Drosophila melanogaster: one gene and its partners. The protein of the gene in region 1 interacts with the protein of each later gene in a pairwise test. Each region holds a gene or a part of one and is shown in the gene's direction. Other genes may lie near its edges. The genes, in order: Mpcp1, frc and Sys1.

What was found.
Region 2: the proteins of Mpcp1 (region 1) and frc interact in a two-hybrid assay, tested with the Drosophila melanogaster proteins (one large-scale study listed by BioGRID).
Region 3: the proteins of Mpcp1 (region 1) and Sys1 interact in a two-hybrid assay, tested with the Drosophila melanogaster proteins (one large-scale study listed by BioGRID).

Annotation. Positions count from the first base shown.
Region 1 is NT_033778.4:20,276,931-20,287,497, reverse strand, and holds Mpcp1 (mitochondrial phosphate carrier protein 1), read left to right. Parts: upstream 1-6,370; 5' UTR 6,371-6,510; intron 6,511-6,560; exon of another isoform or gene 6,561-6,654; intron 6,655-6,888; exon of another isoform or gene 6,889-6,908; intron 6,909-7,052; 5' UTR 7,053-7,070; coding exon 7,071-7,263; intron 7,264-7,332; coding exon 7,333-8,097; intron 8,098-8,163; coding exon 8,164-8,330; 3' UTR 8,331-8,432; downstream 8,433-10,567. Other genes in the region: CG16868 (uncharacterized protein), read left to right, coding at 764-1,030, 1,093-1,852, 1,908-2,582, 2,639-3,220, 3,283-5,348; CG9143 (uncharacterized protein), read left to right, coding at 8,676-10,101, 10,160-10,279, 10,337-10,567.
Region 2 is NT_037436.4:17,424,643-17,437,543, reverse strand, and holds frc (fringe connection), read left to right. Parts: upstream 1-4,353; 5' UTR 4,354-4,568; coding exon 4,569-5,690; 3' UTR 5,691-7,206; coding exon of another isoform or gene 7,207-7,427; intron 7,428-7,484; coding exon of another isoform or gene 7,485-7,689; intron 7,690-7,943; coding exon of another isoform or gene 7,944-8,167; intron 8,168-8,240; coding exon of another isoform or gene 8,241-8,397; 3' UTR 8,398-8,608; downstream 8,609-12,901. Other genes in the region: CG12229 (uncharacterized protein), read left to right, coding at 1,297-3,012; CG32176 (uncharacterized protein), read right to left, coding at 1-1,031, 1,167-1,220, 3,088-3,150, 3,211-3,355, 3,407-3,607; Coq4 (coenzyme Q4), read left to right, coding at 7,207-7,427, 7,485-7,689, 7,944-8,167, 8,241-8,397; Gorab (Golgin, RAB6 interacting), read left to right, coding at 8,799-8,898, 8,983-9,682, 9,740-9,956; Polr3G (RNA polymerase III subunit G), read left to right, coding at 10,475-10,618, 10,688-10,816, 10,874-11,236; COX7B (cytochrome c oxidase subunit 7B), read right to left, coding at 11,349-11,405, 11,465-11,634, 11,904-11,949; Sec3 (secretory 3), read left to right, coding at 12,445-12,901. UniProt on the Drosophila melanogaster protein: Involved in the import of UDP-sugars from the cytoplasm into the Golgi lumen.
Region 3 is NT_033777.3:8,647,652-8,656,848, forward strand, and holds Sys1 (Sys1 golgi trafficking protein), read left to right. Parts: upstream 1-5,359; 5' UTR 5,360-5,469; coding exon 5,470-5,634; intron 5,635-5,704; coding exon 5,705-5,826; intron 5,827-5,894; coding exon 5,895-6,090; 3' UTR 6,091-6,196; downstream 6,197-9,197. Other genes in the region: Mkk4 (MAP kinase kinase 4), read right to left, coding at 1,071-1,245, 1,311-1,396, 1,628-1,768, 1,827-2,668, 2,830-2,860; SLIRP2 (SRA stem-loop interacting RNA binding protein 2), read left to right, coding at 3,466-3,741; Dhod (dihydroorotate dehydrogenase), read right to left, coding at 3,862-5,031, 5,086-5,133; CG42489 (uncharacterized protein), read right to left, coding at 6,225-6,458; bel (belle), read right to left, coding at 8,134-8,255, 8,327-9,197.

The DNA of each region.
Region 1 (10,567 bases):
CTGCATCTGTTCCATCTTCGGACTACATAGTCACGTATCCAGCCGACAAAAATAAAAAAGAATCAAATGCACACAACCTTGACAACGGATGAGCGAATAATTGGCAAAGGCTCAACTTTGGTTTTGCTTTTAGATGCACATAAAAAGTGAAAGTGTTATAAGAGCATTAATTTGCAAAATAATTTATAGAAAATCTAACTAAGAATACATTTCAATGTAATTATTATTTATTTAAGTGCGTATGCATTTCAAGAATATTGAATAAATGCAACTTATAAAACGCTTAGCAATTTACAATTTTCGAAAATACGTTATTTCTAGGGTAACCACATTTTAACTGTAAAGTCGTATGCAGCCACACTGCTGTGTCGTGCATTTTTGTATCTTCCGCATGCTGCCCTATAATCTACGACATACGGTCACACTGCGCATGTGGAACTTTAAGAAAATCTGCAAAACATTGACAAAATTATTAAATTTAATAGCTTAATCGGACGAATAAGAGTGTATTTATGTTGATTAGTTGTTGTCTCTGAGCCAGTGGGCAATGTACACGTGCTTACTATGCCTAAAACCGAGGAATCAGCGAGATTTATGTGACGAAATTCCGTAAACAAATCAGCGTGCAGCTCGAGAAGAACCTGGTAATACAGAATTCCTTAAGAGGAAACCACTCAAGCTAACATTTCATTGTCTTCCAGATATGCGGTAAATTCAATAGTATGCCCCAGTGGCCACGGAGTCCGCCGGAACCACAAAAACCATGTGGCCCAACAGCAACCTAAACGCCGTGCTGCTCATCCTGGCAGTGCTGGCGTGCCCAACTAGCAGCCAACATGTTCCTCTGGCCATGGCCAATTCAACTAGCAACCAAGTGCCTACGGATCCTGGCTTCATGCCGCTGCAGCAGTCGCCGGGAAGCGTCTTTTTCGTGCACCACAACCAGCAGAATGCCATGCAGCTGCGACATAGCATGGAGGGCAAGCTGCGGAATATTCGTAATACGGAGCTGAGGGTGGCCAAGATACAGGTGGGCTATCAATACTGCACAAGCTATTAAACTCCATTTTAATGCCCACAATCCCCTTCCAGGAAATCTTTGACTCCATGCACTTCAGCAGCGCCAAAGGAGCGTCAAACACTCGTCAAGCTTCGAGCAACGATAGCAACGTGGTCAATCCCCAGTTGCAGCGGGACTTGCAATTGTTTAGTGAGCGTCTGAGCAAGAAAATCCAGAAAGCCACTTACGTGGTGTTGGAACTGCGCGAACTGCTTCGCTACAACCTGACCAAGGTCTGGCAATACAGCTACGACGACGAGGATGATGAGTCGGAGAGCGAAATGGATCTAGAAATGGAGCTGGAAGATCTACATGCCAGGAACACGGCCTCACCAACCGATGAGCATGTGCAGCTCTACTTGAACACCCAAATAGAGAGCTGCCAGCCTGACTACGAAACGGACTTGGAGTACGGCTCCTCATCGACCCAATCGATTCACTACAACAGACAGCAGATCCAAATCCTAAACTATCTCAAGTCGGATGATGCACGCGCTACCTTCCTGAATGAGAATAATGCCCGTTCCTTGGCTGTCAATGGCTACATATCGAATCAACTAGTACTACTCAAGCGCAGGCTCAGTCGAAGCGATGCGGAAAACTCGAATAGCAAGCCAATTAGCGGGAATCACTTTAAACACATATATTTCCTATCCAATTCGGATGGAGCCTCTGCTAGCCTCCATTTTCGTCAGCTCTACGTGTCAGCTATTAAGCAGAAATTTGTGCTCTTCCTCATCGACGTGGGATCAGCTCTAAGCGCGGAGTTATTCGACCTCTCAAAAAGCTTTGGTAAATTATTGATTCTTATTGAAAGACAACCAAAATCAATTGTGTTTATTTTCAGTTCACGAAATGCTCCAGCTGCTGGAAGATACGGATAAAGTTTCACTGGTGACGGTTGCGAGTGAAGCGAACTTCATGTCCCTAGAAGCCTTTCCCGCCGAGGCTGGTCACGGCATCTACAGTGCGACTCGTGCGCACAAGGAGGAAATTATAAGCTTCATTAACAGCTTGAGCCGGGCACAGGCCTTTACAAACCACTCCTTGGGATTTGAGTACTCCTTTGAGCTACTCCATCGACTGCAACAGTCGGGTATGATAAATACGGCAGAGCAACCAGTGGAATTCGTTTACATTACTCGTGGTCTGCTGACCAACTTGTCTGATGCAATGGCAGTACTGCGAGTAGTGGCCGATGGTCAAAGACGACTCAGGGCTCCAGTGATCATTAACACATGCGCAGTGGTGCTCGACGAGAAGCGTATAATGTACGAAAAACAATTCCTTAACGACGTCGCCAGTCAGAACTACACCAAGTACGAGATTGATGTGGCAAGTTGGTGGCCCAGTGGACAGGAAGCGTCTGAGTTGGTTGGACGCTTCTATGTGCTCAGCAAAATGCACGCGGAAACGTCGTTACCCCAAACGAGTTCACGGATATTTGGACCGCTCTTTCAAGAGCGATATTTGAGTGATACGCTGGAAGTTCATCCTCCAGTTGTGGACGCAGACAGCGGAGGTAAGTTAAAGAACCATTAATCTTGATTTCCCAATCAATATTTTGCCTTCTTGCAGATGTTCTTGTCTCCATCACGCATGCCGTTCCTCCCTACGGTGTTGTAGGAGTAAACTTGTACCTGTCGGATCTGCTTGAGGATCTACTTAACTACCCCAGTACTACATCCAGTGCCAAGCAGGGCTTAGGGTATGCCTTTCTGCTCGATCGCTCGACGGGAAACACGCTAGCTCATCCGGCTTTTCCACGACCGCTCATTCAGCGCGAGACCTCGTATCCCGTAAACATCGCCTATCTGGAAAACGCCACAGATTTTTCCAGCCATATACGGGATCGCCTTCTGCGCGAGGAGAGCGGTAATGTCACCACGGATGTCTATGTGGGCAGACAGCGACTGCAGCGTACCTACTACTGGCAATCCGTGCTGGGATTTTATGTACTCTGCCTGGTAAGCAGTGGCGGCGACACACTGCGCAATGTTTCCTCCACGCAACGTTACAACCTAAAGGACACCGTGTCCAACTACGAGCCCGGCTACTATGGTGAGAGCATGGACCTACTCTACCATCGCCTGGATTTAAACCAAGGCGGCAGTGCACCGCCAAAAACCTGTCGCTACTTCAGACAAGTAGCCACAATGGGTGAGTTTTAGTCATACCCCATCATAAATGTTAAAACATAATTATATTTAAAATTCTTCCAGATGCTCCAACTCTGTTCCTGAGTGCTGCCGCATTCGAGTCTCCGTTCGGATTCCTTCACAACAATAGGCCTCGCACCCAGCTGCGGCATGTGGAGTCTATAATGGCCTATCTTCGCGACTCAAGTGGCCTGCTGGCCAATATGGGCCTGCGTCCCAGTATTCGGCACGAAGTGGGCGTCCTTTACCAGGCGATGCAGCAGTTGAGACGACGGCACCAGGACGCAAGGGGCTCACTACGCAGCCATGTCATTCGACGGTACATCGCCAGTGTGAGTGGAGTGCTGCAATTGTACCCAGGTTGCTTGCTTAGCAGCAGCTATGATCCAACGCGAAGGCCATGGTTCCGACAGGCAATAGCGCAGCCTGGAAAGATTGTTAGCACAGCTCCGTATCTGGATGCCGGAGGAGCTGGATACATAATCACCATTGCGCACACCATCTTCGAAGGCAAGGCCCATGCGCTGCACTCTGCCCAGCAGGACAGACCCGTAGCAGTGGTAGCCCTGGACGTTCCTTATGCCTTCTACTATCGCCTGATCCTGGAGGGCACACCGATCTGCCAGCTGCCGCATATAAAGTGTCTGCTGTTCGAGCACGAGGGATATTTGTTGGCTCACCCCAGCATGTTGCAGCCCGCCACACTCACGAAAAACCAGCGACGTCCACATGAGCACCTCACACACAAGGAATCGTATTTGGCCAACGATATGTTGAACCACGGCCAATTGGTACGAAAACTCGGCTGTGCCAGCTACCAAAACCGCACGTTGCAGCGTTACTACGCCTTCAACACATCTCTGTCCAGCATCCTGGGCAACGTAGTGCACGGCGAGCGAACCAAGTACGCGATTGCCCTGATCCGTGGTAGCAATCTATTCGCAGCCGTACTAAACTCCAGCTGCGATGGCGGCGCCTTTTGCCCGTGCAGCACAATCGACAGAGAGTGTCTCAACTGCAAGCGAATGGACCAAACAGACTGCGAGTGTCCTTGCGAGTGTCCAATGGTGGGAGACAGCAGCTCACCATCGTCCCTCATGTACTTTGCCAACTACACGCGACAATTTCCGTACTGTCCACCGCCAAGTGAACATTTCATTGCACTTCCACCGACCACACAGCTGCTGAGTACTCTGCCGAATTGTCCTGGTTCTGCTGGCATATGCGAAACGTATTCCACTCAAAGAGAATGCCTCGGAGTGATGGGCTGCGAATGGTGCCAGCTGGATGTGGACGGCAATAGTTTTTCGACCTCCTTCTGCTCGTCCCAGGCGAGCTGCTTCAACGGAGTACTTGCCTCGCTGACACCCTACGGTGAGCTGGACGAGATGGAACTGCTGGCCGCCCACAATCCGCAGAGAGAGCAGCACGCTTACTCTGCATTTGGTCCGCTAGGAGGAGCCATTGTGGTGCTTGTCATGGTGATTGGCTTTGCCATCTACTGCTACAGACACAATCTGGATGCGCAGACGCAGGAGCACTTCTATGTGGATTCGGTACAGGAAGAGAATTACGGCTTGCCGCTGTCCAGGTTCAACTTTGACGATTGCAAAGCGCATGACGAGCCGCCTCTTGGTGGCGGCTATGACCACGCATCTGCACAGCGGCAGCTGATGCACGCGGCGGATATTTCGCCCTACCACGTTTCCAGCGGCAGTAGCTATCGCCGGCCACCCAACGGTGAGTCGGATCATGGCTACAGCACAATGACGCCGCACGAGGACAGTTCCGATCAGCAGTGCTTCACGCTGGCGGAACCTTTGCTGCTGCACGACAAGCGGCACAGCAAGTCGGACACCATGTCCATATCCACATCCATATCGAGTCCCACGAATCGACAGCAGTCCTCCTCGCAGCCAAACACGCATCCCTACTTGAGCAATCAGCCGACCTCAAAGACGGAACGCTACAAGCAGGTGCAGGCCACGCCCTCGCCATGTCGCGGAACGCCAGCAGGTGGTAGTGTCTACGGGCAGACGACGTTGCCCCTCGAGGGGGATAAGACCCGGCCACACTATATCCTGGCACCAGTGACGGTGCACCGGCACATGGAAACTGCCGAATCGTAGTCCACAATAGCGTTGTTAAGTTTTAGAGCGTAAGATGTCCGCTTGTTTGCCAATTTAGTTATGTAAGTTTCCAAAATGGGCAGTTCAACTGCCGACAGTCCAGAATGCTGGGCCCGCATTCCAAACCCGCAATGTGTTTTGTGAGCTCGCGGTGGCCTCCATTGTTGGCCCATCTGTATCTATTAGAGCCTCCGTGGACGAGACGAACACCAACTATTAAGTGATGACATTGTTTCTGCCATTTTTGATCGATGTATTGTATTTGTATTGTATTGTATTTTACTGTAATTTATTGCAAAAAGTATTACTATATTATGTGCAGCTATATACTTCCGATATTTTTAGCATTTATTTGATAAGCACCAACAACAGAAATGTACTTACTTGTCTGATTGTAAGATACCATGTCGTATATCGTTTTTTGTAATAGCCCCTAAGACTACAGAGTTACTAACTACTGATTTTAGTAATACACATCTATAATAGCATTGTACGTTTCAAATAAAATGTTTAAATTTTGCAAAAAAAACCCACAAGATCTTAACCTTGATCCAGAGCGATCGGATGAATCGATTGGGCTGCCAATTGCTCGTCCTCCGATCAGCTGGTCGTACGTTAATGAAATTATTTTTACACCTATACATTTTATAAGCAAACCAGACGCTGCTCAATGGGCTCTTTTTTTGCTGTGGTGGCCAAGAATTGCCAATTTATAAATAACAATCTCTATTCGGGGGTTGTCAGGTGGCTTTTAGAGCAAAATTAGCTATGGATCTTTGGTGTAAGTTTTTACCCGATACCCAACCATTTCATAACCGTCATTAACCGATGTCATAAGGCTGAGATAGCCAACATATTCAATATCTTCAAAAAGAAAGTGTCTTTATACTGATTAGCTGTGCATTTGCTGTGTAAGTTCTTACCCGATACGCAACCGTTTCGAAACCGTTATCAACCGGTTGGCTTTGCACTCGGCTGGCAACCCTGAACCGAAGCTGCTAGCTCTCACTATACCATTGCAGCCACTGCATTTGGTTTTCTGGTCTGGCGCACGACGAACGTTGCTTTGGGTCCCCACATTTCAGCCCAACAACGACTCTATACTTCAACTATATCTAATCCCTATCTGCACTTCACCTCCTTCGATACCCCGCACTTTGAAGTGAGTGTTTAAGTTTGCTCGGTGTTTTGAAAACCGTTCTGTTTTCGAACATTTTCGAAATATACGCAAAGTGATACAATACGTACTCTGGGGAGAACATTACGCAATGCATAAAAAGTGTTTGGCGAATGAGAAAAAACAATAGTTATGTAAAAAATAATGCAAGTATACATTCTCAATTTCAATATAACTTGATAAAAAAAAGAAAGTTTATAAAAAAAGTTTTTTGATGAAGTGATTTCGGATTGAATATATTATTGCCAATGCTTATCATTTACTATTGCTAATTAATTTTTAAATTATAATGATACTAGAAAAACAGTTTTTAAATAATTGTATAATCTTTCAGGATTAAAGAACATAACTTCTATGTGCTCAAACGTTTTTGACAAAAGAAAGTACGAAATATTAATTTATAGATGTAAAAACAATTAAAATAGATTAAATGTATTTAGTGTAGGCGGTACCACTTGCAATTTAGTTTGTTACATCATGACCTTAACCTTAAACCCATTCGAAACCCTTGATCTCTGTTTTCAAAGGCACTTCTCTAAGGCATCATGTTTAAGTCCCTGTTCGATGCCGCGCAGAACTCAACGTTCAAGTCGCCATTCACTAGCGTCAACTGCCAGTCAGCCACGCCCACTTCCGCCCCCACATCCACCGCGGTGGTGACCCCCACCCTCAAGGATGTTGCTCCACGCCAGCTGACTCGAAACCACAACATCGCTGCCGCTGCCGTTGCCGAGGGTGGTAAGTGGGACAAGTCCTCCTGGAATCACCAATGAGTTGGATATATAAGTATTGTTAATACCTCTGCAGACTCCTGCGAATTCGGCTCGAACCACTACTTCCTGCTGTGCGGCCTGGGCGGCATCATCTCGTGCGGCTCCACACACACCATGGTGGTGCCCCTGGATTTGGTCAAGTGCCGCCTGCAGGTGGACCCGGCCAAGTACAAGAGCGTGTTCACCGGCTTCCGCATCAGCTTGGCTGAGGAGGGCGTCCGCGGATTGGCCAAGGGATGGGCACCCACCTTCATCGGCTACTCGATGCAGGGTCTGTGCAAGTTCGGCCTGTACGAGGTCTTCAAGAAGGTGTACGGCGATGCTATCGGCGAGGAGAACGCATTCCTCTACAGAACCGGACTCTATTTGGCTGCATCGGCATCCGCTGAGTTCTTCGCCGATATCGCCCTGGCGCCCATGGAGGCGGCCAAGGTCAAGATCCAGACCACGCCCGGATTCGCCAAGACATTGCGCGAGGCTCTGCCCAAGATGACCGCCCAGGAGGGCGTGACCGCCTTCTACAAGGGCCTGGTGCCATTGTGGATGCGCCAGATCCCATACACCATGATGAAGTTCGCCTGCTTCGAGCGGACGCTGGAGCTGCTGTACAAGTATGTGGTGCCCAAGCCACGTGCCGATTGCACCAAGGGTGAGCAGTTGGTGGTGACCTTCGCCGCCGGTTACATTGCCGGCGTGTTCTGCGCCATCGTCTCGCATCCGGCGGACACAGTGGTGTCCAAGCTGAACCAGGCCAAGGGTGCCTCCGCCCTGGACGTGGCCAAGCAGCTGGGTTGGTCTGGTAAGTGCTGACATTTGATGGGATTTCCTGTTCCTCATCTAAAACATTCGCTTTTTTCCAATTCAGGATTGTGGGGCGGTTTGGTGCCCAGGATCGTGATGATCGGCACATTGACCGCCGCCCAGTGGTTCATCTACGATGCCGTCAAGGTGTTCCTGCGCATGCCACGCCCACCACCACCAGAAATGCCCGAGTCCCTGAAGAAGAAGCTGGGCGTGACTGGCGAGCAGTAAACCAAATATAAGCTAACTGTTTTTAAATTTAGAGCGAGCAGAATGTTAATCGAATTAAACTTGATTTGTATAGATAAACCACACAGTAAATAAAAACCACACAAAAATTAAACGCTCTTTGTATCAAGGGGTAAAAGAAAATTTCAATTTAAAATAACCGCCAAGCTCGAGTGCACACCTCCATATTTTCCAACACTAATTTAGCACTTTTAGTTCAATACCGAACAGCTGAGCTTAACAGCCCCGTCCAATGTCAACAAACAGAGGGAAGAAGAAGCAGCATTCAACACGCGGTTTTTTGAACTGCATTTTTATTTCACTTTTATTAAGTTAAAATAGATAATTATGGTTCAGAATAAACAGAAAACAGCGAAGCCACCAAAGCTGCTAAAAGGCGCAGCCAAGGAGCCTGCACTTTCGAAGGCGGAAAACTGGCAGAAGGTTAAAATCAAGGGCCACGTGATATCCGACGATGGTGGCGGCTTCGAGGGATTAATTGGCCTGGAGGTCCTCAAGGACTACGATGCATCGCTGGTGAAGTCCTCGCAGAAGAGGACCACATCCCGGAATCCAGACAGAGAGCGCAAGCTGAAGAAGAAAAAGAGGAAGGTATCGAAGGGCGACGAGGAGGAATCCAGCGAGAGTTCCAGCGAATCCGAAAGCGAGGATGAAGTGGCGGTCGCTGCTAGGACCAGTAAAAAAGCCCGCCTGGCCGAGCGTCATGCGCAAAAAATGCAGAAACTGCGCGAGAAGCGTGAAAAGCGAAAGGAGCTGCGGAAACAGAAGAAATCGAAGGGCAAGGAAAACGACAACAGTGAGGAGTCCAGTGATGAGCACGCGGCAGATCGTTTCGCATTGCTCAGGCCACCACCATCGGACGATGAAGAAGAAGTGGTCAAGGCGGAAGATTCGGCAGACCAACAGGAGTCGACCGACGAAGAAGCACCCGAATTAGTGCCCATCTCCACAGGCGAAGCCGAAGATATGTCCGCCTGGAACGGCCTGGGTGTTCCCGCTTCCATTTTGCGTGCCCTCGGCGAGCAAGGCTTCAAGACGCCCACACAAATCCAGGCACTGACGCTGCCGGCTGCAATCCACGGCAAAAAGGACATCCTTGGAGCAGCCGAAACGGGCAGCGGAAAAACCCTGGCCTTTGGCATACCCATGCTCGCCGGAATCATGGAGCTGAAGCAAAGGAATATTCGCTCTGGCATACGCAAGGCGCCCAAGGTGAAGGGACAGCAGCCGGAGCCAGCGGCAGATGAGCACGAGCTGACGCCCCCGCCGGAGGAGCTGGATCATGTTTCCGGTGCCAGTGATGAGGAGAGCGATGCGGAGGAGCAGGCCCAGCGTGTACAGACTCCTCTGTACGGTCTGGTTCTCACACCCACCAGGGAGTTGGCCGTGCAGGTCAAGAATCACCTGGTGGCTGCTGCAAAGTATACAGGCATTCGAGTGGCAGCCATCTTCGGAGGTCTAGCTGTTGCGAAACAGGAACGAGTACTTCGCCAGTGCCCGGACATCGTGGTGGCCACACCTGGTCGCCTCTGGGAACTTTACGCCCAGGGCAATCGACATTTGGGCAAGATCGAGGATGTCAGTTTCCTGGTCATCGACGAAACGGATCGCATGGTGGAGAAGGGACACTTCGAAGAGCTGCGCAGTCTACTCAAGGTTCTCAATTCGGACGAGCAGAAGAAGCATCAGCGCCAAAATTTTGTTTACTCGGCCACTCTGACGTTGGTCCACGATCTTCCCGATCACATGCAGAGTAAGTTACTCGGATCTTTTGAGATTCCATTAAGTAACCAAAACTCTTTCACTTTCAGAGCGAAATGTAGGTAAGCGGCCCAAATTTGTGAAACAGACGGTGGATCAGAAAATTGAAAGTCTTATTGAGGAGTTGGGCATTTCCCAGCCGAAGATTGTGGATATAACCAGTTCGCAGCGTAAGTATTCATAGTTAATCATGAACTAAACAGCAGATTTATAAAGTCCACTTGCAGAAACCGCACAAACATTGACCGAGAGCCGTCTGCTGTGTCCCATCGATCACAAGGACTATCATCTTTACTACTTTATTCAGCGCCATCCAGGACGCACCATTGTTTTTTGCAATTCCATCGATTGCGTAAAACGACTGGCCACGCTCTTCGGCCTGCTGGACTGCAATCCCCTGCCCCTGCATGCCAACATGATCCAGAAGCAGCGTCTGAAGAACCTGGAGCGATTCCGTG
Region 2 (12,901 bases), on another chromosome or scaffold:
CTCGGAGTCTGCCTGCTGTAGTTTGTCGCGTTCATCCTCGCTTGTGTCCAGGGATATGACATCGTTGTCCAGTTCCTCAGGATCCTGCATCTTCTCCTTTTTCTCGCTTTTAATGCTTACCCAAGGTGAATCGTCATCCTTCGTCATTTCCTCAATCATTTCTAGATCCCCACCTATTGAAATGACGTCGTCGTTTTGATCTTCGTCGTCAAGGGCAGTTGGCTCGGCTGCACTCGGCTTCTTTGGCTCTGCAGGGGGATTAGCTGGGAGAGCTTCTTCCGACGGTGGTTCCTTATCCCCTGTTTTATCTAGCTTATCAGACGTATCCGATACTTCTGGCTTATTACTTTCCAGTTCTTTCGAAATAGCTGCTGCTTCTGACTCTGTTGGCTCATCTGGATTGGCTGGGTCAACTACCTTAGCTGGCTCTTCGGGTTCATCGCGCACTTCTCCCTCCTCTGGCTCGCTCTCAACGACTGGGGCTGGTGGGTCCGATTCGACTTGCTTAGTTGTAGTTGTTTCAGTTGTCTTCTTTTTGGTGGCCTCATCATCCGTACTGTCGCTGATCAGCAGTGTTTCGGGTTCCGTTTGTATAGGTATCACATCTGGTGAGGCTGAACGTGATTTGGAACGTGGCAGTTTGTTTAAATCGTTAGATGCAACCAAAGTTTCGGATGAAGTAGTAGATGTTGGAGGTTTGACTTCCTTTTCTGGCGACTTTGAAGTCCGCCTATAGTTTCTTTTGATCTTGATTCTTTTGCGGGGCGCTTCCTGCTCCTTGCTGCTGCTATCAGGCTGGGATGGAGATGTTGGTCTAGCTGATTCCTGCGATTTGCGCTTGCTCGAATCCGTTTTTTTAGTGCTGCGTTTATCCTTTTCCTTTCGCTGTACTTTCTCCACTGGTACTTCGTCAATATCATCATCTGACTTGACCTCTATTTTGGTGATTGGCTCCATTGCCAGTTGGGAGCGGATGGCCCTGGCACGTGCCTGAAGTTCCAACAGTTCCAGCACGCTCATTTGACCACCCGCTGTGGGAGAAAAGAATACCTTAGTAACCTGAACAAATTTGCCGTCAAACGGGCGCACAGTCTCAGATGGCTGTTGTTATCATACTTTCGGTCGATTTCGATTAGTTTTTATACATTCGTAAAGTTTGTACTTACACTCTTTGTTTTCATTCCCATTGTTCGTTTTCTTGGATCTAAGCTTCTTCTTGGCTGAAAATCAGACAAGATTGACACAGATTGCATTACAAATTGTGCTAAAGTATACATAAATTAACTGCACGCCAGGATGCCGATCAACCAGAAAGAAGTAACGCCGCAACTAGACAGTCAGACAGGTGAGGATCAGGGGGAGGAGGAGGAGCAGCCGGAAGACGAGAATCGTCTGGAGAAGTTTACGGTGCGTCTTAATGGACAACATGACCTGGAGCAGCGTTTAAAGGATTTCAAAGCGGCATGCGAGGCTCACGAGAAGCACGCCAGACGGCGAAAACGGAAGAGATACTATCATTTGGGTCTTGTGGCCAAGCTGGTGACGGAAACCACTCACGACGAGCTGCGACGTATGCTGGAAAATGGAACCTACACCTTTCACGTGGATACGGTGGGCAACAAGCCCGATGAACTGAAAGCCATTTTGGACACCATGAACATTGCGATATCGGCGCATTCTGCAGAGAGGGAACTACGTCTGACAACTGGCTTGGCTCTGGAGATTAACGGCGAGTGCTGTCGCGTTGGGAGACTGAGGAACAACTGCACCGTGATGCTGGCACGAGGTGGGGTGGTCACACTCACCACGGATGAGTCCTACCGCTACAAAGGCTTTAAAGAAATAGTGTACGTAATCAATCTGCGGTGTTATCTCGCCTCCGTTCAGTTGGGCGATATTGTGATGATCGGACGTGAAGTTAGAGGTAAGGTGGTGAAGACCCTGCGGGAAGCACTAACCGTGATGATCATAGATGCCGGTCTGGTAGCCTCCTACGACTTTATAGAGCTTCCTAGACAGTGCCACGCTCTCGATCCGGACCTATATCCCGATCTGTACATGAAGGACCTTGAGATGGCCGCGTCTTTGAATGCCAACTATGTGGTTCTGCCCAAGATACGATGCAAGAGCTTTCTTCGTGCCGTGCGGCAGACCTTGAACTCGGACTTCAACCTTAAGTTGATCGGAATGATAGATTTCGAGTATGTGCGAAGTAACATGCTTGATTTGCTAGGCATCATTAAGCTTGTGGACTACATTTGGATACCCGACATGTTCAACGTAAACTGTTGCGTATATAACTACATTATGGAGGACGTGCTTCCGATTTCGCAGTGCCAGAAGAAGCCAGTCATTGGCACTGTTCCGCTGGAGCGTTGCAGTGATTTTAAGCGATTTGAGTTGCACGATTTCCTGTGGAAGGTCGACGCTATTCACATCCAAAAAAGTCCATGGTGCAACAAATATCCGCTGATAGTCAAAAAGCTGATGCCCATAAAAGATTATCGTGTTGGCGCGGTCCAGAATAAGATGGTACTGAAGAGCATCCTAACCTCATACCAGACCATTGTGAATTTTATTATCCGCACAATTAGCTCGATTGAGTGTCAAGCCATATTTTTGTTCACCACTTGCGAGACCGCCAGCGTGGCCCTTTCGCGTATTGAGATCTATTGCCCAGTATATGTGATGGTGCCGCTGGAGGAGACAGATGATGCGGAAACCATTACCTGCAAGGTGGAGCTCGCTCGTGCGCTTCATTTGCGCCGTAACATGCACCCGGTTCTTTACACCAAGGATCTCAACGAGTGCAGCTACAGTCCGATTGAGTTTGGAGTGGACTTTATGAGGAAGAAGGGCTGCTTGGAGGTTGGAGACTTTGTAGTTACCCTGGAGGTGGGCAAAGAGGATAAGGATAACGTGGTCATCGGCATAGGAGAGGATGTTTGCATCCTGCGGGCATTTTACGTGTCGCCGCTCTTTGCCTGCGAGAAGTTTAAGTACGGTGGATAACTTTACGGCGTGCAGTTGTGCAGATTACACAGATAATAAACTCTAAATTAAATGTATCTTATGCCACCAACTCACTTTTTCGGGATTCCTGACCTCCGATGTCGCTGTCGGATGATATCTCCTCTAGCGAGATGTGTTCTGAAATGAGACTTTATAATGAATGGTGGGTTTATAGGGCAAGGAAGTGATTCAACATACCTTCTTTGTGCTCCACATCGGAATCTTCGGAGCTTTCAGTGTCTGTGGGACATTTGGTGTTTTCTATTATGGATTTTAGCCGCTTCGTAGACAAGCAGAGTAACTCCTCCAGACAAAGTTCCTCGATTTCGTCTAGTGGCGTTTTCTGCGTGAAATTATTGATAAATAGCTTTTTATAAAAAGAACTATAACACACCTTTAGAAACTCTGGGGCTAGGTTCAAAATGGTTTTCGGTTTTAAGGTCCCAAATATCTGTTTCACCAATTCCAGGCGGTCGTCTATGTAATGGGACATGGGATGCAGCTTTCGTTCCTCCTCGATCTTCTCCTTCTTAATGCTAATGGGCTTGGGGATTTGGTCGCCCTTGCTGGATTTTTTCGCCTTCAAGCCACTCATTTTATCCAATTTGTTGTCAAAATAAAAACCAAGTAATTTCGGTCTTTCGGGCAGCGTTGCCACTACTATTTATACCTTGTGGACAGTGGGACGAAGGCAACAATTTTGTGGGATTAGTGTGAATGGCTCTATTTTAAAATTCAAAACGCAAAGAAAAACGAGCAGTATTACGAAAATGTATTTAATAAAAATTATTTCGTATACTAGGGAATGGCACATAGAATCAATAATTAAAAATGTACAATGGTGTATATTGCCTTTAGGACTGTATTATCCACTGTGCGCTGTTGTTAACAGTGTTATTGTTTTTTGTACAGAACAGCTGATTATCAAGCGGTGTAGGTTGAATTAAATTGTGGGAGTGTTAGTTGTCTTAAAATTGTTAAGGTAAGTTGATGTATTAATTGAACTTGTAATCCATCAGTGTAAAAGTGTTTACGGAAAGCGGTGATAGCAATTTTATATCAGCAAACAGTTTCTTGTCGTAGATATCATGTGAAATCCGTTAGTAAGGTGTTACGTGAGAAATAGTACTTGTGGCAGAATTTTAGAGTTTGGCTTTTATTAATGGGGATCTGTTACTAGTGTAAGTTACATTTAAACACATTAGTCCAATATATATTTAGCATTTTCTATATTTTTGTTTTTTTGACATGCCGCTAGAAAAGTAACAGAAACTGTTAAGTAACAGTGATGGCACATTTAGGTTATTTCATTGGGGAGCGTGTTTTGACAACTCTGCTGCGGCCACACTGAACATATGTTCCGGGGAGAATGGCTGCGATTTCGCGTCGGTAAAAATAGCAAATACTCGTTAATGTGCTGTGGGAACGCTTCCTCCCCGGCCCCAAAGTGGCCCCGAAGAAAGTGAGCAAATGTGCGCGCCGCAAGATAGTCGCCGCCGAACAAACGATAGTGACGAAAGTGATTTAATTCAACTACCAGCACTCCCGCAAATACGATGAGTATGTCGCGCGGCGGCAACACAACTCTGGACTTGCAGCCGCTCCTGGCGGAGAGCGATGTCGGAAACAGGGAGCTGGAGGAGAAGATGGGCGGATCGGCGGATCGGTCATCGCTGCTCGATGGATCCGGTTCGAAGGAGCTGAGTCACCGGGAACGCGAGGACTCGGCGTTGTTCGTCAAGAAGATCGGGAGCGCCTTGTTCTATGGCTTGTCCTCCTTCATGATTACGGTGGTAAACAAGACGGTGCTTACCTCCTACCACTTCCCCTCGTTCCTGTTCCTCAGCCTCGGGCAACTTACTGCTAGCATTGTGGTCCTGGGCATGGGCAAGCGCCTGAAATTGGTGAACTTTCCCCCTCTGCAGAGGAATACCTTCGCCAAGATCTTTCCGCTGCCACTGATATTTCTGGGAAACATGATGTTTGGACTGGGTGGCACAAAAACCTTGAGTCTGCCCATGTTCGCAGCCCTACGACGCTTCTCTATCCTGATGACCATGCTGCTGGAGCTCAAGATCCTGGGACTGCGACCTTCGAATGCGGTTCAGGTCAGCGTATACGCAATGATCGGTGGAGCGCTGCTGGCCGCCTCTGATGATCTGTCCTTCAACATGAGGGGCTACATCTATGTGATGATCACTAACGCCTTGACCGCCTCGAATGGCGTATATGTGAAGAAAAAACTCGACACCTCGGAGATCGGAAAGTACGGCCTAATGTACTACAACTCGCTGTTTATGTTTCTGCCTGCCCTGGCCCTCAACTATGTTACAGGGAATCTAGATCAGGCGCTGAACTTTGAACAATGGAATGACTCAGTGTTTGTGGTGCAGTTCCTGCTCAGTTGCGTTATGGGTTTCATCCTATCGTACAGCACCATCCTGTGCACGCAATTCAACTCGGCGCTGACCACCACCATTGTGGGATGCCTGAAAAACATCTGCGTAACATATCTGGGCATGTTCATTGGAGGCGACTACGTCTTCTCGTGGCTCAACTGTATTGGGATCAACATCAGCGTGCTGGCTAGTCTGCTCTACACGTACGTCACTTTTCGGCGGAAGCGGGCTCCCGATAAGCAGGACCACTTGCCCAGCACCCGCGGCGAGAATGTCTAGCTTCATCTTAGCTCAAACTCAAGCCAAAGCCATACGATATGTTAAGTGTATTCCGTACTGTGTACTTCAATTGCGATCTGCGATTCGCGACAACGTTCGTATTTGATTTTCCTACAACCACACAGCGCATCGTCTCTGTACATATATCTAGCTATATTTCTATAAAAATGTAATTTAGCAATTATGTAATTTTAATCACTTTGTACATTTGTCTGCATGCAACTGTTTCCTGCATCGAAAGTGTCATAAGAAATAGAAATACACAGACTTCCACTCCTCCGCCTACGGAATGGGTGGGCCAGATAAACAATTGTGTTCCGTCTTCTGTTCCATTTTGGGTCATAATTGATAAGATTGCCTGCTCCGATAAGGCATACAACTCGGACGTTGCAAATTAAGCAGACATCTTGCTCTCTCTCACGTGCTTTTCTAATTACTTTTTTGTGTAAAATAAGTAATGTAGTGGAACTGCGTTGTGGGATTTGCCAATTACTTGTGCTTAATAGGTTGTTGTTTATCTATTCTGAGCAAACACGTTGGCGCCTTGAGATTAATACAAAACAAAGTACTGCATTGCCGGACAATCCAGCAGCGTCATCACTCAACATCACTATGTAAAAAGCTTTGGATAGGTTGCTCGATTACTGATTACTCTATATCAAAATTTTGGGTTTTTATGTTGAATAAAAAAAAAACAATATTATCAGCCAAGAACGTGATTGCGAGTGGTGATAGTATTTTTTAGAATAGTACGCCTTCCGATATTTTGTGTTATTTTCCGTTTCATTTGGTAATTGCCTCAAAAGGCTTTTGTTTAGATTGTAGTGCTGAAGAATCTTTTTCTTTGTCTTAAAAGTAAATAAATTTGCGCAGCTGAAACTGTTTTGTTTTAGCGAAATAAGTATGTATACTTTAAGATGGCTATCTATTTTCTTAGAATTAGATTTTACTTGGTAACTGCCTAGTTCCTTATCAAAAGATTAAGATTTAAATATCCCACATATATGTTGCTAAACTTATCTTTTAAATGGTGACTACTCATTTATCCAAAGAAACAACAATGACGACATTGAATCGGGCATAAAGCGGCAGAATGAGGTGCTAGTGCCCCGGCAGCACTTTGTTTGGGTTATTTTGGGAGCCCGCAATATATGATGGGCGGTGGTGAAGTGAGGGATTCGGAGTGGGGACAGGTAATGAGGAAGCCGAAACAGGTTTGCACAGACTTAGCCGTGCGGTGAGGTAAATTGTTAGTCAGCATCAGCCCCGACCGCGTACCCACATTATGGACAAATTGTTTGCTCATATTCGCCGCTATTGAAAGTGGGCACGTACATACGTACGTATGGCTCGAGGGACCAGCTTTAACCGAAGACAGGTAGTCAGGGTCATGTTTGTGTGCGACGATGATGATGATGATAATAATAATGTAATGATGATGATGCCGACGATCGTGCTGATAAGGTCACCACCGGGTGCACCTCCCCATATCTCCTCTATGAATCCACAGATCATCATGATGCAACGCTGTTTGCGTCTCCAAAAGCCGCTGGCCCTACGACGAGGCCTTCGCTTGGCCCAGGCTAATAGCCAAGCGGTGGCCACAGAAGCACCCGAGGCGGAACCTCTGGATGCCTTCGAGCGTCAGTACCTCAAGGAGCGAATCGAGATATCGCCCTTCCAGCGGCTGTTCCTGGGGGCAGGATCCTCCATTGCCGCGCTCTTGAATCCAAGACGGTAGGGCATCTGATGAAATTTAAAAATCTCTTAAAACTCTTAATTATTATTATGAAGTCATGACATGATCGCCTGTTTGGGTGAGACGACTGGAGAGGATGCTCTATGGACAATTTTGGACACCATGCAAGCCAGCGAGGAGGGTCAGCGCATCATGGCTGATAAGCCCCGCATCCACACCAGCACCATTGACTTCAAGTATCTGGAAACTTTGCCACCGGATACCTTTGGAGCCGCTTACGTAAAGTTTCTGAAAGATAATGTAAGTAGTTCAAAGAATCCGGTAAGAAAAAGCGTTAGTAACCATAAAACGACGAAAATCTGGTTCAAAGACATTCCTAAGAGAATTTGGACAGTGAATGTCATGGTCGAATTTGAAGTTGGTAACAATTGAAAATCTTAAAAATTATTGTCTCATAAACATACTTGCATATAAAAGATATATTTAGATGGAAAATAAAATAATAATTGCTTTTGTCCATCGCTTCAACGATTATTTTGGTAATCAATTTTCAGCAAGTCACGCCGGACAGTCGCATGGCCGTGCGGTTTTTGGAGGACCCGAAGTTGGCCTACTTGATGACGCGATATCGCGAATGCCACGACCTAATCCACACGGTGCTGGACATGCCCACCAATATGCTGGGCGAGGTGGCTGTCAAGTGGGTGGAGGCTCTGAACACGGGCCTGCCCATGTGCTACGGTGGTGCGGTATTCGGAGCAGTTCGCCTACGTCCCAAGTGAGTTCAGTGAACTGGGTTCTCTAATTATAGCTCCCCATTCACGCGTTTGTTTATTTTCTCCTCCACTTAGGCAGCGGCGTGCGTACTTGAAGCATTACTTGCCGTGGGCCCTGGAGAACGGCAAGCGGACCAAGCCCTTGATGCCCGTCTACTGGGAGAAGCGCTGGGAGCAGAACATCCACGAGCTGCGCTCCGAATTGGGCATTACTGTGCTGAATAAAGCTTGATAAGGCTGTTTATTTTTAAGCCCATTTTTAAATTTTGAACTTATCGACTATTAGTATCGAGCAGTCCTATCGCGATCGTAGAATTGTGATCTGGCAACGTCGTGTAACGTCGAACTGATTGTAGATGTTTCCACTTACAAAGAAAATTATTATTTGATTATAGCAATAAATATAAAAGTTGATGCAGTTTGCCGAAATAATTTAAAGATCGAGAAAAAAACTTTATATTATTTTTTATATTAGAATTTGAGCACAGTGAGAACAGTCAATTTCCGCGAATGATCGCATCAAAACTTAACCCGATGTGGCAACTCCACTCGTTCTGTTTGCATTTGCTGATGTGTTGTTTTGTTTTTTTCGGTCGATCGTCTTAATGGCTAATTATCCCTAAGTTAAACACCATGACTGAGAAATTCAATGGTTTTAGCCACGACGAGATCCTCAAGATAACGGGCGTGAAGGAGGGCGGTGTGGGCAAAAGGCCTGCGAGTCTGGAAGCAGGTTAGATCACTAAGCATGAACCCCAAAGCGTGTAAACAATTATCTGTTTATAATAAAAACCTTTGCCTATGTGTGCGTGAGCAGCGAAGCCGGCGCTCCGAATTCAACCCGGCATTCGGCGTATGCCCGATAAGATCTTCCGGCAAGCGGATCAGTTACGGAAGCAGCAGCAGCAGCAACCACAGCAACCCATACAAAAACCGGATGTGGCGAAGAAGACCAAATCGGGAACAGCGACTCCCACGGAAAAGCCACCGACTCCCACTCCCGCGGCGGAGGATGACGTAGCGAACGGATCGCTAAATTTGGACCGCCCACTCTCCGATTCATTAATAGAGGCACTCTACCATGGAAATGCTACAGCTAGAGATAAGAAAACTCCCGCCACGTATGCAGATGCTGAAACAACGTCCACCGACGACAGTTCGATTCTGAAGATCAGCGGCGGTGACAGCCAGACAACTAGCTCCACCGATGATGGCAGCATCCTGCCGAGTACCCAGGACACCTCGCCGCGGGAGCGCCTCAACACAGACTCACCTTTCAAGGGCATCTCGCTGAAGGACTTCGAACAGCATCGCCGCATGATCGAGGAGCAGAACAAGCAGAAGAAGCAAATGCTGTACCAGGCCATCGAGCAGCACACCCAGAAGACGGCGGCGGAGTCGCGAAAGATCGAGGAGATCCGCCACGAGCTGTCCAAGCTGGAAAGTGATCTGGCCGTGGACGTAGCTCTGCTGAGGAAGCAGATCGACAATGCCTGCATACATTTTGCCAATGTAGAGTAAGTGGCGAAGCCAAATACTTGTGTGTTTCCCTTATTAATATTTATGTTACACAGAAAACAATACGTCAAAATCGAGGCTCAGTTCTTGCGGGCCAAGATAGAGCTGCACAATGCATCCGAAAAGAAGGAGCTGCTCACAGAGCATCTATGCACAGTAATTGCCCACAACGAGGACCGTAAAGCGCAAAAGCTTACTGAATTGATGCAGAAAGTGGGTCTGTCGCCAACCGATGATTGCCAACCGATTGATTTAACTCAACAAAGCCCCTAAACACGTAACACGTGTAAATTCAACTTCAAATCATCTTTAATTCGAATTTTCAGCGGTGTTTGCTTAACTTGACCAAAAGTATCAATTTGTTGCTCCCTGAAATATTATATTTTTTAAATTGGAAAATTATGTACTAATTTTCCATCGGCTATATTGTATTGGAATTGTAAACATAAAACACGCCTGAAATATGTCGAATGCGCTCTAATATTAGCATGTAATTAATGTTCATAGCCTAAGTGATGAAGTGCAAATTGCAAATAAAATATGTATATGTTATGTGTAAAATTAAAGTGTAATTACTGAAACTGAGTAGTTGGAACTGCGACCTAAATAAAAATAAGGGTATTAAAAAGCGAACATTCTTCAATAATGTTATTGTTTGGCTTTGACTATGTGGCAACACCGTTAGCTGCGGCAACAGCTGATCGTTTTCAGAGTTTAATAAACGTGCAAGCTGAACAATACAATCGGAAATAAGTGTTTCTAAACAGAATACAATAAATTAAGCATTTATAATGGCAGGCCGCGGAAGGGGCGGCAAGACAGGCACCCTCACGGCGGAGCAAATGGCCATGTTGGGATGCACAAAGGATATGCCGGTGCAGACGGCGCCGCCACCTACATTTCCGCCTGTTTTGAACAGACCCACTACCCTAGAAGTGGGTACAAATCCATTTACATTAGTTTAAAAAACATCGATCAACTTTTTACCTGTTTTACTTCGATAGACAACAGCCACACAGAACTATCAGCTCCTGTGGAAGGAGGACTTTCTGAACCGAATGCGAGATTCCCCCTATTACATGATCTCCGCCAGTCGGGACGCAAAAAACCTTGATCACAAGGACTGGCGAGAAGTAATAATACTGGCTATTTTAAATTAGCTGCTTATAATCCTGCTTTTACACCCCCAGAAAGCCATGGAGCGCATGAAGCTCACAGCACAACCCGATTTTAACTACAAAGCCATGCCCCAAGAGCTAAACATCTCCAGTCGAAAACGTCGTGGAGCAGATGCAAGGCCGAATCTGCTGACCAAGAAGACAAACATCGAGGACAGACTGAAGGTTCTGGAGCAGAAAGAACTGAAATCAGGTGGCGGTGAGCAGGACGAGAACAAACAAGAGTCCGATTCCGAACAGGAGGAGGAGGAAGATCCGGAGGCGGCGTTGGATGATGAGATGGACGAGGACAACGACTACGGTGCAACGTACTTTGATAATGGAGAAGCCTTCAATGATGAGGACGACAACTTGGACGATGGTCCCGTTTACTGAGACAAATAAAACCATCGAACTGATTACTTTCGGATCTGTGATTTACTATGTCGCCACTTTAAGCTTATTTAACACAAATGTTGGATTAATTTACACGTAAGGGAACGCTGGCTTAGTCCAGGCTCTTGGGCGCGTAGTAGTTGAAGTGGATGATACCAGAAGATTTCACCTGCAAAGCGTATTTCAATAAGACCGATATGGGATGGAAGGAATATGGCAGCCACTTACGAATCCAATAGTGCCGGCCAGGACGAGAATGCCAGTGATGAGCGCGGCATTGTACTTGGCGTTCTTCTGGCTGTGCTGCTCCTTCCAGTCTCCAGCGGGCACGGGCAGATCGTTCATGGTGGAGTGGGGACCATGTCCACCGTGGTAAGCGGCACGCGACAAAGCGCCAGCTGAAATGAGAGAACAAGAAAGAATATTCAAGTGATTGGTTTTAAAAAGGGGGTAATCCCAACGAAATGCAACTTGGTTAATGATCTCATCCAAGTTTCTTCCGATATCTGTTTGGCTAATTCTGATAATATCCATGGCTATGCTGAAGATTGGTGGGTGAACCATTCCTTCGCAGTTCCTTGAAGTTTCTCCCTTTGCTTATCCACATTATGTAATTTTTAAGGTTAGCAGTTTTGCTGAAAAGAGGTGTTGGGCCACTCCAACTCACCGTTCTTGAGCAGAAGCCCCTGCTTGACAATGTGCTTAACCAACATGATTGCTCGAAAGTAGCTGGAAATGGGTAAATATGGGTTTATTTTCACTGCCAATACTTTTTCGCATTATAACTCACCCGAAGATTACCTTGTGTTGAACAGTGTGACCGTTGTGTTGTTATAGAATAATATCTACCCTACAGTTGGGATGAGATCACGAGCTGCATACTTGTTATTACCTACGATGCGATGAAACCTTCAATGTATCTATTATACTGAAATGTTTAAATAACAATATGATTTAATACATTTTAATTGGTTTCTGTAGTCTTAGCATATTTTTGCTATGTGACTTTTAACCACGTAAAGAACACTCACGCAATGCGCTCATCCCCAACCGATAGTCTGTAAACGCCTCTGCAGAAGCTCTGTTAAATCAGCTGTTGGTGCGGAGGCGTTCTCCAATTGCTAATTGCAAGTGCAAACAACTGGCCAGTTGTTGATTCTTGAAAGGACTTTATTCGAGACCAGTGCATCCCGAAGATATACCCAGCCATGCTGTCCATTGGCGCTATGGCCAACATCAAGCACACGCTGCAGAAGGAACTCTTCTTGGCCTCCGGAGAACGCCTCCTTTCTGTGGTGACGGTGGTCAAGAAGAAGGACAAGAAGCCGTGCTACCTTTGCGTTGTCACCACGGCGCCACCGGTACCCGTGGTCACTTTGTGCCTGATCAAACAGTCGGAGCAGCGCGAGGGCGAATACAAGCGCAAGCGGAGCTGGCAGCTGGACGAGATTAAGTGGGTTGACGGCCGGAACGAGCAGTTCGAGACGCACGAGTTCGATCTGCAGTTGGAAAAGCTGTACAAATGGTACGCCCTTAACCCTCACGAGCGCCAAAACTTTCTGGCCGTGCTCAATCGCCAAATCCAAAAAAGCGTGCGTGGCCAGCGGGCGGAATTCCGGAATGTGCCCGCAGCGTGGTTGTCGGAGAAGTCGCCGGAAAAGGTGG
Region 3 (9,197 bases), on another chromosome or scaffold:
ATATGCGGTACGTCTAATAAGCAGGGTTTAAGGGTTTAAAAGCTAGGCTAAGGATTATAAATGGCTTATGAGTTTTGATTAAATTTAAATTGTAGTTCTCTTGGTGAGTGTTTATCATTTCGGTTTATACTTAGGCACAATACATTTATTTTGTTTTATTTGTAGTTTTCACATGACTTTTGTTTTTGTAGCTGTAACTTTTTGCTAAATATTTTCGCTTCGCTTACAACTAATTTCTACGCATAAAAACGTGTGTGTGTGTTGTGAATGTGTAGGTGTTATGGTTAATTTTTTTTATATATTATGGGATTAGTTTGCATTTATCTGCAATAATTTCTACTACATTTAAACATCTCAGCCGCTTGGCAATTATTTAAAGCTTTTCACAATCATTTTCATTATGCAAATTAAAAAAATATAATAGGATTACAAATTCTGTTCAATAAATAATGTAAAATTGTTTTTGTTGAACTTGTTACTTACGCTTAACGCGCATTGGTGTTTCTGTTAGTTGTTTGCATGGCTAGCAACTCTCGTTTTCACGAAGCTGTTTTTTTTTTACAAATATTGCTTAAGTTTCGCATGTGGTTGCTTATTAACGCAAAATGCATTTCCAATTAGTCTGCTATCATTATTTATGATAGATAAATCAACCGGATTATAAAATGTTCGCTTGATTGAGGCTAAATAGGCTTTTGGCTGGGAGTCCGAAGCTGGTCAGTTATTGGCCCATATATTCGCCTGTAACCCGCCGCTCGCCTGTTGTAAACACAAATTTATTTTCAACACAAAACTTAACGCACAAAACTGCGAATACAAAAGTTATTGAATTATAATAGGCTTTAGGGACTTTAAACTATACACACACATTTTGCTTACTATCAGCTTACACACTTTTCGCTTAGGTTTGTTTTTCTGTTTAACAAAATATGCGCTAGGTTTTCTACGAATGCTACAAAGTAGACAACAATTAAAACTTTTTATCTGCTTTCCTTCTGCTTAGTTATGCATGCTGTTGTGTTCTTCTTGAATCTTAGTTAATTTATGACTTGCATCTTCGCTTAGGGTGATTAACTCTCCGCCTGCTGATTGGCCGTAAACTGCGTAATGCCGTCTTTCTCCATCGACTCCAGTATATCAGCCACATACACGGCAACATCAGTGTGGCTCGTCTCGCCACGACGTATGAAGGGCATCTCCAGCAGACGGCTATACTTGGGTCGATCGCTCTCCTTTTTAATTAGGCTAAAACGATAATAATGCTTTATTAGTTACTATTATTAAGTTTTCTAGGCTTTACTGGTGCTTACCAAGTATTGACAAAGTCCACAAACTCTTTGGAAAACTCCATGCCGTTATAGGATGTCAAAAGTCGCGGCGGTTCGCCTTGCACAACCTTGAATGTTAATATTATGAAAAAGTCATTAGCCAAAGAAAATTAGCTTCAGATATTATGATAATTTACTATATGAAAGACAATACGATAAGACAATCAGCAAATAAAATGAGTCATTAGTCAATGCTTATCTCTATTAGATTATTCCTAATGACGAAAGGGAACAAGACGAACGATATTTGTATCTCATTTTAAAAGAAAAACTATCCTATTAAAATGTTTTATGTTTACCTGGCACAACTGCTCGAAAACAGAGTCCCATTTACGATAGGGGAAATTACCAGTCGCCACCTCCATTAATGTGATGCCCAATGACCAAACATCGCTTCGTACATCGTAGCCCTTGGCACGTTCTGGATCAATGCGCTCCGGCTGCACAAATGCATACAATTGCGGTAAAAATGTTGTGAAATCAAATGACAATCATTACCGCCATGTAGGGCCTGCAGCCCGCATCCTTGGTCTTGGCAATAGAGTCGACCAGCTGACCCGAAATACCAAAATCGCACAGCTTTATGTCTCCGCGACGGTGCAACAGAATGTTGCTCGGTTTCACATCCCGATGGATAATCTTTAGCTCCTCCTTCAAATAGTTCAGCGCATTGACCGTGGCCACTGTTATCTTAGCCAGTATAGACTCTGGAATGTGGCGCTGCTGCTTTTCGTAGATGTACTTGTAAAACTTGTCCAAAGAGGTGTCCATCAGCTCCATACAAATCCAGCAGTCACCCTCCTTGAAAAGCGCCCCATAGAACTGAACAATGTAAATGCACTCGTTGGACTTCATGACCACCTCGAGATCCATGAGCAGCTGCTTCTGTTCCTTCTCGTCTACGGTGGATCGAATGCGCTTGACGGCCATCACCTTGTCCAATTTCTTAAAGGTCATCTTGTTGACTGCCCCAAATGCACCGCGTCCAATTTCGCCCTCATCCTCGAGATCGTCTGAAGTAAATGTGTGTGTATTAGCGCCGCCCTCACCAAACTGTAGCTTGCCACAGGCCTGCTGGCGAATTCGCTCCCGGTGACGATCGGCAGCGCTGCTGCTCGATGCTGCCGGCACCGGTGGCACTTGACTGCTGGCCACCGGCGGGGTTTGCTGTGGCTGCTGGGCACCAAAACAGCGGGTCACATGGTTGTGCTGTGATGAGGAACTTGAGCCCGAGGAGGTGGATCCCGAAGAAGTGGACGACGTGGACGAGGGCGGATGGCGTATGCTAAGATTATTCAGGCTTAGCTGATCCGGGGGATTGCGGGAGCGACTGGATCCGGCTGGAATGTGTGGGAAATGGGAGAATTTAGGAGGCTTCATAGATGGCTTATCGCCGCTGCACCAGATTTCCAAACTATGCGTCACCCAGCGAGTATGTGGTCCTCTTCGGCTGCATGTGTATGACCTGCGTGGGCGGTTCGAGACCAAAGGGGTAACTCACTTGCAAACAAATTTTTCGGTCGTTCGGCCATTGTGTGTGGTGGCTGAAAGTATCGATGCGCCTTTGTGTGGCTGTCCTAAGGATGTTTTGTCCGTTTTCTGCAGGCGCCGCGCCCCGAATACAACACGTCGACTTGATGCTCCTTTGGCCCTCCGATCGCCTGGTTACTGGGCCGCCTTTGATGGGCTCTTCGCCGTTTGCAACGCAACTACTTTTTCAGCAATCGAGCGCACTGATATGCACTTTTTCCGCAATTTCGCTAAACATTTACATAAATAGCAACCAAAACTTAAAAGAGCTAGAGATGAAACATTGATTATTTGCGGCCAATCGATAGCCATCGATAGTATGCGCACTAGCTTGCGATAAGCAGTCCTGCAAGGTGCAAAAGTAGTGAGGTGGGTAATAAAACGAATATAAAAATGTCACCTATAAATAATTATTTCTTTAAAACCAAGAGATTTGAGTTTCTATTTTTCACAAATTAATCCCAGCTTTGTTAAAGTTTTTACTAGTTGAAAAGTTACATTTCGTCAATAAGTGACGTCGACGCCTACATAAACCAATCTGCGCCACCTTAAAATCAATGCACAATCACCAGTGATTTAAAACCAGAAAATTAAAACATACATAATCATGTCCAGCGGATTTGTTCGCAGCAGCTACAAATTGTTCGTCGGCAACCTGCCATGGACGATAGGTAGCAAGGAACTGCGGACCTACTTCTCAAAGTACGGGCACGTGGCCAACGCGGAGGTGGTCTTTGACCGGCAACTGGGCCTGTCCAAGCACTATGGCTTTGTGGTTTTCAGCCAACGGGATGCCTTCAACAGCGCCAGCAACCAGAACACCCATTTCCTCGATGGACGAGTGCTCACAGTCCAGCGGGCGAATGAAAGTCCTCAGAGTTAATCAATGAAGAATTTAATGATTTATTGGTTAGACCAAAGGAAAAGCATGAGAAATGTTTGTTAACAGCTTAGTTTTACACAAATGAATGCAGCACTTGCTTCAAATCGTGGCATCTTTGATTCATTTGGGCAAGTAGAACTTGCTGTTGGTGCCCACCACGTCCGCAACATTAGTGTGACCCAGCCGTGTGATCAGCGCCGACAGCTCCGCCTTAATGTCTTCCACAAGAGCGGGTCCCTCGTACACTAAAGCCGTGTAGATTTGGACGTAGGAAGCTCCAGCTTCGATCTTTTCGTATGCATCATAGCCGGAAGCCACTCCGCCGACGCCTATGATGGGAATCTTTCCATCGGTGAGCTGGTACATCTGGGCGATCATCTCTGTGGAGCGGGCCTTGAGTGGAGGACCACTTAATCCGCCAGTTTCCTCGGCCAGCTTGTTCTTTTCGATGTTTTCCCGCGACACCGTGGTGTTTGAAACGATCAGGCCATCCACGCGGCTCTTCTTGCGCTTGATTACCCACACGATGTCCTTCATGTCGTCCAAAGATAGATCCGGCGAAAGTTTCAAGAGTATAGGCACATTCTTGTTCTTATCCAGGGAGGATTTCGTGTCGTTGACCTGTTCCAGGAGCTCTCTTAGCTTCTCCTTGCTCTGCATATCGCGCAGGCCCTTGGTGTTCGGACTGCTCACATTAATGACCAGGTAGTCTGCTACGGGCCCGAAAACCCGAACACCCTGTACATAATCCGCTATCGGGCTCATGGTGGTCTTGTTCCGGCCCAGATTCACGCCCACAACTCCATTGAAGTTCTCCTTTTTGCGGAGCAAGCGCAGCCGTTGGAGCACGGCCTGATGCCCGTCGCTATTAAATCCGTACCGATTAATGATGGCCTTGTCCTCGGTCAACCGGAATACTCTCGGCTTGGGATTGCCCTCCTGAGCCGCCGGGGTAACTGTGCCCACCTCTATAAATCCGAATCCTAGATCCTGCAGGCCGTCCACCGCCTCCGCGTTCTTATCGAATCCCGCTGCAATGCCAATGGGATTGCTAAGCATCCGGCCAAAGAACGACGTGTGCAAGTTCTGGTCATCATGGTACTGTGAAACCGGGCACAGGCGGTACTTGCACGCCAGCACGGCCAGTTGATGGCTGGCTTCCGCCGGAAGAAGTCGCACCGCTGGCATCACGAAGGTCCGGAACAACTGGTCCTGGTTCTTGTATGCCGTAATGCCCGCCACCAAGGCAGCTCCTCCGACTGTAACGATTCCCAGCGACCGCAAACGACCCTGTGGGCGGAATCATTCTGTAATCCGGTCCCGTTTAAGCCGTACTTTACTCACAACTCTCCGCGTGGCGTTTTTAGCATTCTTTAAGTGATCCTGATCCATGACGACTATCGCCGGATATCGATTGTACCCGATAGAGTATTAAAAGTATAATATGTAAAAAAGTAAATGCATGTACTAGAGTTTTAACGAAAATTCAATTTGGGAGTAAGTCTGGCCATTTTGAAGGAAAACTCATGCGATATATAGTTACTACGGCAAGCATCAATAATTTTCTTTTTTTTCTGTGTAGCAAATGAACCCCTTCTATTCACAACCATGCCGAAGAGAATCGATAGTCCTCCAGTGTCACCTCTAATGGTTGAGTCAGTTTGTTATGGCCAGCTAAAAATTAGAAATTTCGTTCTCTAAACGCTGATTTGGCCACCCGAGGCAACCATGAAGGGCGGCACCTTTCGCAACACGCAGTGGGATCCCACGCTGCTGTCCTCACAGATTGTGTCCATGCAGTTCTGCGTGTACTTCACCCTTGGCCTACTCGTCTTCGTGGCCAACAAGTTGTCCGGGGACAACTATAGTCTGGATCACTTGTTCGAATACCATGTATGCCATATGCTATATACCATATATCATGGAAACCCCTCTCCTTACTTTGATTTAATGTTGCTTAAAGGAGATCCACATCTACGACATGGGTGGCCGCCTGGTGATCTGCGCATTTGTTTTAAATGCGTTCTTAGCCTCCCTGGCACTGTGGTGCATTGTGAGAAGAGCCAAGCTCTGTCTGGACTTTAGGTGGGCTTATAGCTAGTGCACACACTTAATCTTTTGCTTTTACAACTCATGCTTCCCTTTCATGGCAGTTGCACCTTCCACGTGCTGCATTTGCTGATCTGCTGGTGGTACAACCGCTCCTTTCCCGCGAACGCATCGTGGTGGCTACTGAATGTCATCACCGGCACAATAATGTGCATAGGCGGCGAGTTTCTCTGCCTGCAGACCGAGATGAAGGAGATCCCAGTGGGCTATGCGGCCCTCAATCAAAAGTCGGACGTCTGACTCGAAGCCACCAACTTGTGATGCCTGCTACCCCCCCAACCAAGCCACCCAAAGCAGCTTCTGTGTACATGTAATTTATTGTTAAACTAGCGTAAGATTACATAGCATATAAACACTATATTGTACTTCTACTTTCAATGTAATATCTGGTAAACGAAGGGCGGTCTCTGCCGAAGCTTAAGTTCCTCAGGTACTGCTGACGGCGGCAGGGAGTACTTTATTCCAGATCCACTGTAGTTCGATATCATTGACCATAGTGACTCCTCGCGCGGCACAAACATCCAGTAGCTGAAGGCCAGCATAAAAGTACCGATCAGCGATGCCAGTAGAAGCAACATCCAGCACGGACCATGATGTGGCTTCTGCATCCTCGTCGTGTTTATATGTTGACAGTCTGAAATTGACACAGCTGAGATCCGCGAATACAACTGGGAGTGCACTGAAAATTTCCGCCGGACTGCCGAAAATAATAATAAAACGGGGTGTGGCCTAGTCAAGCGCCCACGCTGTTTATTATTTCAAAATCCAGCGATCAAGAAGCGTAGAGCTTTGCTGTTCAAGCAAATTTATCTGGCAAACAAACAACGACAAATCGACAAGCTCCCCTCTTTAGAAAACATCAGAGCAAACTAATCAACTTGCCCTATCTAATCTAATTAGCAAACGGGTAGGCATCGCCACGATCGTCACATCCTCGGCACTATTTGATGCATTTCCTACTTACATTCTCGCTCCCCACGTTTCGAACATTCAATTATACTGATTGCTTAAATGTGCATAATTGAAGCTTTGCCGCTGGGAAACCGGCGACAAAGCTCTCATCTGAGAAGCTCCTAAAGGTTACTAACCTATCCTATGGATATTCCACTCCTTAATTATTTTGATAATATGGCCAGCAGCTCGTCGCGGTTGAAAATCCAATGATCTCTTACATCGAAACGTATTGGTTCGAAAAGCGTACTGAACTAAAACCAAAGAACAGGCAACTTGCCAATTCTTATCAATGGAGCTAACTCAAAAAGTGATATCAGTAAGTAAATAAATCTTAATTGAACATATTTATGAAAAGATAATAGGGCGCCAAGGAATTAGTAAACGTTGGTGCTTTACAGCGTTATCGGACACGATCTGCCAATCCCAAAAAAATCACCTGTTACACCAAATGCAGAAAAAATTAAAAACAACCATGCGAGTTCTTTTTCTCATTTGCTAAATTATTAAGCTTTAGTTTAGCAAACTTGTTTTTTTTTTGTTTTAATTACTTGTTTGTGTTGGTTTCTTGTTTCATATAGTACATTCTATCTCGATCTATATATTTAATAATATATATACCATTACTATTTTTATGTTTTCTTCGTTTAAAATCATCAATTGAAGTTCAAGGATTTGCGCTTTCATCGTTTCGATCCGACATTGACAATATTTATGTCTAGATATATATATATATATATATAAGAATACATATATATATATATATATATATGTATATTAAGAGTTCCAAGAAAAATGATGTGTGAGAATTGTAACTTATGGACAAAAATTCAAAAATTTTATCATTTGCTTAAATATTCTTAATATTTGTGGTTGTTTAGCATATTTTAAATATGTATGTGTTTGCTTGCATATCCTTCAACTACGCGCATCGAATTCATAAAATATAATGATGGGTGAGATGGAAATGGAGGGCGGCTTGGGCTGGCTATACATGAATGTAATATACTTTCGCGATGGACTTGCACAGTTTATTATTAACGCTTGCTCCTGGTTTTTGAGGTTGTGAGAGAGGAGTGAATTGCTAAACGAGGGTGGGGTGGAGGGTGCATCTGTGTATCTTTTCTGTATTTTCGTGATTTGTGTTGCGCTGCGCACAGACAGTTTCTCTTTCACATTTGCTGTTCCTATATAGTATACGTGTGTACACATATATAGTTGTTATCGACTTTGTTTTACTCCGTTTGGTTATTTGCGAAAGTGGCTACGATGCGACTGCTGATGCTGCTGCTGCTGCTGGCCCAGGTCCTTTGCCTGAAGCTGAGGCCTTGCTCATTGAGCCCACCAGTCGGGTGCGTTCGAAGAGTGCGAGGCACTGCCGCCGCCGTAGGAGCCGCCATAGGAGCCACCACCGGCGCCGCCGCCATAGTATCCACCGCCGCCCGAATTGCCGCCTGTAAAGGAAATCCACTGTTAAGTTTCTGCCTTTAAACTGATTACTGCTGATGGATGATTCCACACTCACCAAACTTACCGTACGAGTTTCCATTGCTGCGGTAACTGCCGCCGCCGCCTCCTGATCCGGAACCACCGCTACGTGGTGGCGGTCCACTGCGTCCGCCACCGCCGCCGCCAGAGCTTTGACGGTAATCCCTGGAGCCGAAGCCGCCACCATAACGTCCACCACCGCCTCGTCCAGCCCGCTTGGCTCCGCCATGTCCGCGATCCGAACTCATATCCTCCATGAAACTGGGGATCTCCTGCTTCGTTTCGATCAGCAGCTCCAAGAGATCGGAGCAAATGTTGCGGTTCTTTTCGTTGAAAAAGGAGGTGGCCACACCAAGATTACCCATACGTCCGGTACGCCCGATACGGTGGACATACTCCTCCACATCCGAGGGCAGGTCAAAGTTAATAACGTGCTTAACGTGCGGAATGTCCAGGCCACGAGCGGCCACGGCTGTGGCCACCAGGATGGGGCAGTCGCCCGATCGGAAGCAGCGCAGTGCCTCCTCGCGCTCCTTCTGCGTGCGATCACCGTGGATGCTAGTGACGGGATGATTGCACTGGTACAGGAACTCCTCCAGCGAGTCTGCACCCTTCTTAGTCTCCACAAAGATCAGTGTTAGGCTGTCTTTGGTGTATTCGGGGCCATCGCGGATAGACGAGAGCAGATCCAGCAGATACGAGCGCTTGTCGGGTTCATAGACCCACAGGATTGTCTGCGTAATGTTCTCAGATGTGGAGCCCACACGACCAACGGCCAAGAAAATGTAGTTGCTGAGGAAATCGCTGGCTAACTCCTGGATCTGCTTGGGGAATGTGGCCGAGAACATAAGCGTCTGGCGCTGTCCGGTTGGCGGCATGTTTAGCTGTTCGACGATGCGACGGATCTG